2 linked regions of the Tribolium castaneum genome follow. The protein of the gene in region 1 purifies or fractionates together with the protein of each later gene. This does not show direct contact. Links are inferred from orthologs where the notes say so. Each region holds a gene or a part of one and is shown on either strand. Other genes may lie near its edges. The genes, in order: probable 18S rRNA (guanine-N(7))-methyltransferase and Trmt112.

Region 1 (4,383 bases):
GATTTAATTTATGTTTAGTAGTGTAAAAAAATTATCACTGAATTAATCGGAATTGTTCAAAGTAGGGGGAAGTGGGTTCGAGCCCCGGTGACGGCACACGGTTCAACAATTTTTTTTTCTGTTAACTAATTCAGAAAACTTAAAAAATGACAAAACCGAATGCGTGCGTTTCTAAAATCTAAACCATTCTAAAAATAAAATTTGTTTATTTTTTCAATATAAAGAAGCGTTCTAGTCAATTTTTAAATTTATTTGTTATTTTTATTTTTATTTTAATTTAACAAGTAGCAGTAGTTAGGATATGTGATCCCTAAATTTAAAAAAAACAACTCAAATTTTGACTTTTTTACCTGTTTCTTCAATAATTTCCAAACTAAAAATGTAAAGGTCAAACTTAAATTAGATTTATTTTATTTGTTTCAAGTCTGAACTCTGTTGATAAAACAAGCGACTGGAAATTTTGTTTTACCTGATGAAAAATAAAAATGTTTGGAAAAGAAATTGTGTTGCTTTTGATCACCTATGAATTACTTTTCTGTTAGTATTTTGTTTTTTAATTCCAACACAAGATTTTTTTAACTTAATGACAACTTTCCAAATTTGAATAAAATCTTTGAAAGGGGTACCAATCTTAGAAACGCAATGAATTCCTGTTTCTTATCTTTGGTCAATTTCTAATGTATGTTTAATCGTAACAAGACTAGGTTTTTTTGCAAAAATTGGTTGAAAAATCATCGAATTGGAGCGAAACTGACGTTATTTTAGCTTGTTTCACTGAACTTGATTCTCTGTTAAACCAGAGATTCGTTTATTTTGCAAAATTTTGCCAAAAAAACGAAGAGAAAGTGAAATTGACGTTATTTCATTGCTGCAAATTTATTTAAATTTTTAAATTTGTTATTTTTATTTCATAAAATTTTATTTTAACAAGTAGCAGTAGTTAGGGTATTTGATCCCTAAATTTAAAAAAAACAACTCAAATTTTGACTTTTTTACCTGTTTTTTCAATTTTTTTGGAATTGTTAATTAATTAGACAAGTTGTAATTCCAGACTGATTTTTTTAATTAGCGTGTTTCTTGACGAAACTTAATTCTTATAGGTGTAGGAGGCATAAAAAAGCCAATATAAATAAGAAAATCAAAAAAATCCCAGGTTCGAATCCCGCTGAGAACTTTTTTTTTCAATAACTGTGTCTACAACAAATCCAAGTGCTTTACTATCGGTGTTTTATATCAATTTCAATCAAAATTATTATTATAACAACTCAAACTTTTACTTTTTTTACCTGTTTAAAAAATTTTTTTTTTGGAATTGTTAATTAATTGGACAAGTTCGTATTCCAGTCTGTTTTTTTAATTAGGTTGTTTCTTGATAAAATTTAATTCTCATGAGTGTTGGAGGCAAAAAGAAACTAATAAAATACAAAAACAAAAATCACAGGTTCAAACCCTGTGCTGAGAACTTTTTTTAATAACTGTGACTATTAGCTGTTTCAAAACAATAAAAACGCCAACGTCGCATTTTTTCTCAAAATTAGCTGTTATAAATTAATAATGCACTTCAAAAAAATAATAGCTTATGTAATTTACACTTTCAATCACACACCAAACCATTAATAACTATTTTACAATTTTATCAATCTTATTTGAAAAAATTATTTGGTAAAATGCGACGTTGGCCTTTTTATAGTTTTGAAACAGCTTATACAACTAATTTCAAGTGCTTTATTATCGCTAACAACTCAGACATTTACTTTTTTACGTGTTTTTTTTTTTGGAATTGTTAGTCAATTGGACAAGTTGAAATTCCAATCTGATTTTTTATTAGTTTGTTTATTTATAAAAAAATCTCACGAGTGTTGGAGGCAAAAAGAAGCCAATATAAATCAGAAACTCTAAAAATCGCAGGTTCGAATCCTGCTGAAAACCTTTTTTTTTCCATAACCATTCCACTTTTAACCAAAATTAATTCTGTAACCCACCTTGTGATTCCTCCTCTGTCCCCAATCCCTTCGGCAACGGCATATTTCCCCCTGTCATCAAGACCAAAAAAAACTTTTTCGCTTTAGTTGAATTCGGAAAATCAACAACAACCCCGCCATAAAACCCCGCTTTCATTGCTTGTGCCGTAACCAACTCCATTTGTTCGCTATTTTCGGGATAAAACTGAAAAACGGCCCGTGCTGACCGGCTCTAGAACCCCAACATGACAAAAAACCTCTCACAATTAACCAAACACAAACCAGACACGCATAAAGACTGCTAAAAAACTTGTAAATCCTTTGAACGGGATTGTGCGACTTTTTATCAGCATTGCACAACCACTGCAACGCGCTTATGCTAATCGCGCCATCGAACGACCCGGCCCGAAAGGGGCACCCTTGCCCCATGTCTGACAACAAAACGTCCCCCTCGACCTCCCTTTCAAGGGCCACATCTAACATGGCCTTGGATATGTCCATACCGACCCAGAAGTGCCCCTGATCCTCAAGGACGCTCCCGCTAAGCCCCGACCCGCAACCTATATCAAGCAAATAACACGGCTGGTCTTCAGGCAACAAAAGGAGCTCAACTGCACGCTCACTCATCTGCATTTGAATATCAATAATTCGAGAACTAAAACGAGTCACAATGAGTAAAAATTGCAAAAAAGCGGCCGTTTCTATACTTTTGAGTGTACTTCCGGGCCTCATCTTCGTTGTAAAACTAAAAGTTAGGTTAGGTTTAGGGTCAGAATTGGGGGCGTACTTACGATTTCGGGTGGCGCCAAGTGCTCAGGACGCGACATTGGTGTTTATTTAGGACCAAAACAATAACAACACATGTGCTATCTTAGGATTAAAAAGTAATCAGAATTGAGGTTAGTTAGGGTGAAAATGACCACTAGGGAATTTGTCTGTTTTAATTTCACGAACTCCGACCCGAACGTTTGTGTAGTAATTACAATCTGCCATCTATTGTGTTACTCATGGTATTTTGGGTGATAGTAATTGAATAGCGTTCAATTCCATTCGTCTAAATAAATTAGAAACGCAAAAATAGTTTTATGTTGGTACGGCTGCCCCTCCACCTTGCCCACCAACGGTTTGTTTTGGCGCTTTGGAGGTTATGATGCCCCATTGTCGGATTTCAAATTGTGTTTAAAATGTACGTTGAGAATTTAAAATTGGATTTTTACGAATTTCTCACAGGCAAAGTAAGTCCCCCTTTTAATTGTCGCCCACTTAGCTGCCCCTTTTAGCGCATTTTGTTAATGGTCCACTACGACATCGACAGCATTTGTGCGTGTAAAATCCTCCAAAACCTCCTAAAGTACAAGGAGATTCTCTACACCCTTGCCGTAATCCGAGGCGTCGAGGACCTGAAGCGCTCGTATCGTGAAAACAGCAACGACGTTAAATATTTCGTCTTGATTAATTGTGGGGGCACTGTGAACCTAGTCGACTTGTTCGAGCCGGAAGAAGACGCGATTTTTTTCATCATCGACTCGCACAGGCCCACACATTTGGATAACATTTACAGTGACGGGCAGGTCCGGTTGTTGTGGACCTCAGAGGAGGACTTAGAAGTGCCCGACTTTCACGCAGTTTATCGTGACGATGTCAGTGGCCCCCTTCTTACGGTCGATTTTTTTATCGTGTGATTACAGAGCGATGAAGAAAGCGACGAAGAACCCGAAAGTGGGGACGAAGATGAGGGAAGAGCTGCCAAAAAACGGAGATTGAACGAAGAAGCGATTCTAAAACGACGCGAACGCAGGCTTTGGGAAGCGAAACGTTTCGATATCATTGCGGAATACTCGCAATACACGTACTACAACAAGGCTGTAAGTTTTTAGTCGATTTTGAAATTAAGTTGGTGACACTGATTTTTTCTCCAGAGCGCGATCGCGATGTTTAAACTCGCGTGGTTTTTGAATAAGGACGATAAGGACTTGCTTTGGTTGGCAATCGTGGCGCTGACAGAACAGTACATTTTAGGCAAAATTGAAAATTCGCAATATGTTCTTGCAGTTGGGGAATTACAGTCGCATTCAAACCGATTAAGGAACAGATCGAATGATACCGACGGTTTAACTTCACTTAGAATCACATATGAGAACGATTTGAAATTAGTTCTGTACAGACATTGGTCGGTTGAGTCTAGTCTTAAGTATTCAATGTTTACGGCGTGCAAATTGAAGTTGTGGTCGCATAGAGGGAGCAAGAAATTGTACGAGTTGCTGGCCGATATGGGGTAAGTAGCCGTTGATTTTTATTTATTTTTTAAACACCCTGTATATTGTGGCTTATGAGTCTTTGGATGAATCAATTGTGAAGCTATTTTTTAATGAAATTATTATTTACTCGTATAATTTCCACGGCGTTGACAGGCTCAGCTCAA
Region 2 (2,694 bases), on another chromosome or scaffold:
TTTAAAAAAAAACGGCAAAGCTTGAGGATATTGGCATCGAATTATTCAGATTGATCTGCAATTTCACAACCAAAGATTTTGTTACTTGTACAGTGTTCACAAAAGAACGTGCATCAAGAGTGTTGTATGAATACGGAGGACTATAAGTTAGGAGACGATTTTTTTAACCCAAAAAAATATGGGACAGACAACCATTTTAACTACGCTCTCTGGCGACGTTAACGGAACTATCGAGGACGGGAACGTTTTATTTGTACGTCATTTCTAGATATCCATAGTTTCCCGAAATCACAGCACTCTTGCACGTTTTTTTTAATAAACACTCGGAGCAATGTAGTGATCCAGAAACGCATCCTATTTTTTGGAAGGCTGTGGCTTGTAACTTATGCCGCCCACTTGAAATACCTGTGCCCCCACATATCCAGCTATATCACGATTTCAAGTCCCCTAATGTACCCCAAATATTTTTGTACTGTAAAAATTGACAAGACATATTTACACGCTGTTAGATAAAGTGTGCAATTTTCGTATTTTCTTGGTAGCTGTACAATGTCAAACGCTTTCAATTGTACTGTGTCTCAAAATAAAATGCCTTCATGGTTACTATCACTGTTTTATTTACACCTCGTCCTCATTCAGCAACAAATTCGGGATCCCGTTATTTATGGGAAACTTCCGTCCGGTTTCGGGACAGATCAGCTCGCCGTTGATTATATCGATCTCCAGCAAGGCGTGATGGGCTTTTTTCAGGAACTCGTGGTCGTTTTCGTAATTTTCGACCACGTCCTTCGGGAGCCCCTCCAGTTGGCCTATGCTTTGGGCTGCATTGTAGAGCACGTTCCAGTCCACTTTTGGGATGATTTTGGCCACGAAGTCCGGGTTGAAGTCCACTTCGGACACTCGCACGTCCGAAGCCTGAAATTTTGGGAAAAAAATTGACATAACCTCAAACAACACAAGTCGGATTTAGCCGATTTTAGGGGCGTTTTTCGCCTGAATTGTATTAAAAACGTAAAGTACTCACGTTAATACCAAGCGGGTACCCCACAGTCACGACTTTCATGCATTTGGAGGTTAGCATGTTGTGGGTTAACAATTTCATTTTCCGATTTTTGTGTATTTACGTGTATTTTTCACACCAGTGGACAATTAATTGTTTAAATCGGCCAGTTTTTCGCGTGAGACACTTTTTGCGCTCTTGGATGCTTACCCCATCACTGATTGATTTACAATGAGCTTTTGGTTCAAATTTCGCGCCTCGCTTCGAACGGAACTTGGTGACTCTTTAACAACTATTTAACCGTACAAACAATTGAATCAAGATTTTTGAACCGCCGTAGTTATTTTTTTGAAATTTGTGATTAATTTTTGGTAAGTTTTATCAATGGGGGCCGTTTTTTGCCCAGTTGGGTGAGAAATAGTTGTGGTTTTGTGGTACTTGGTTGAGGTATTTCCGGTGCATCCCAACGCTAAATCCCCAACTCGTCGCCATATTGCAGTTAGTTATATTTCGGCTTTTTAGTAACTTAGAAAAATAACCGTTTGCTGTTGGCGCGTGAAATGGAAAGCGAAGAGAGTGAGCAAATTCAAGAAGTTGAAGAAGAGTCTCAAGATTCGCAAGAATTGGCCGAAATTCCGGTGCATTTAGACGACTCGTCGGTTTCTTACGCCACATTGAGTCTATCAAACAGCAGTTCGAATATCGTTAGAGGAAAATATTACAAACAGACGTATCGCCCAGCATGGGAGCAAATGCCCGATTTTAAAGGTGAGAATTGGGGGTTTTTGTCGAGGACTTGACGAATTTTTCGAAGGTTGGCTTAGAGGAGTCGTTGGGGAACCCACGCGGGCCTATTGCACCTACTGTCAGAAAACGCTCCATGCCCATCGGTTGAGTCTCCTCAAACACACGTGTACTATCAGACACCAAAAAGCGGCACAAATTCATAATAATAGGAAGGTAGGAAAGCGTTCCGTACACAGGGTGAGTCATCAACATCATCATCAAGTCGCTTGTCTTGAGTTTTGGCAATAAACAGTTGGCTTTGTTTATTTGACAATTATTACCACTTGATTCACATTACTTTAAAAAAATTGTTCAAAAAAGCAGGCCCTGGTAGGTTGTAGTCAGGGTTGTGACGTAGATATTGAAACGTCGTTCTACAGTATAACGACGCGTAGTTTTTGCACATTTTCTACGTCATCAATCCAAATAAATTACCGAAAAATTACACTATTTTTTACGTCAAAATTTGGTAGCATTTATTTGTTCTCAAGAAGAGAAAAATGAATCAAAAATGTTCTATTACTAAATACATATCATTATTAATTAAGTAAGTTCTTTTACCATCAGAAATTGTAGTCAGTAAACAGTAAAACAAGACAATTTTCTATTATTTTCTTTATTTGGCAAAACAGATTAGTAATAAACAAAAAATAAAATCTATTCTCAAAAAAAAAATAAATAAAGTCTATTCTCAAAAAAACAAAATAAAGTCTATTCTCAAAAAACAAAATAAAAGAATTAATCTCGAGGAAAAAAACACAACCAATGTTTCTTTTTTAACTGACTTCGTTACTTTCCCGCATCTTCAGGGAGTAATAACAATGCATTATTTTTCTCGAATGATCAGCATCCAAACGATTTCTCAAATCATTGTGAATAAATGCCCAATTACTAAACACACGCTCCAA

The links.
Region 2: the proteins of probable 18S rRNA (guanine-N(7))-methyltransferase (region 1) and Trmt112 purify together in Homo sapiens (affinity purification with mass spectrometry; 5 studies listed by BioGRID and IntAct, counting the BioPlex papers as one, with this or other methods). This does not show direct contact. The link is inferred for Tribolium castaneum from reciprocal best matches to the Homo sapiens genes BUD23 and TRMT112.

What each region holds. Positions count from the first base shown.
Region 1 is NC_087401.1:7,779,386-7,783,768, reverse strand, and holds the start of probable 18S rRNA (guanine-N(7))-methyltransferase, read right to left. Parts: upstream 2,932-4,383; 5' UTR 2,789-2,931; coding exon 2,753-2,788; intron 2,707-2,752; coding exon 2,669-2,706; intron 2,617-2,668; coding exon 2,244-2,616; intron 2,194-2,243; coding exon 1,983-2,193; intron 1-1,982. Other genes in the region: Cdc45 (cell division control protein 45 homolog), read left to right, coding at 3,146-3,196, 3,242-3,601, 3,650-3,826, 3,881-4,236.
Region 2 is NC_087394.1:6,130,975-6,133,668, forward strand, and holds Trmt112 (multifunctional methyltransferase subunit TRM112-like protein), read right to left. Parts: upstream 1,272-2,694; 5' UTR 1,103-1,271; coding exon 1,025-1,102; intron 916-1,024; coding exon 619-915; 3' UTR 598-618; downstream 1-597. Other genes in the region: uncharacterized protein LOC655985, read left to right, coding at 1,561-1,768, 1,815-1,984. UniProt on the Homo sapiens protein: Acts as an activator of both rRNA/tRNA and protein methyltransferases. Together with methyltransferase BUD23, methylates the N(7) position of a guanine in 18S rRNA.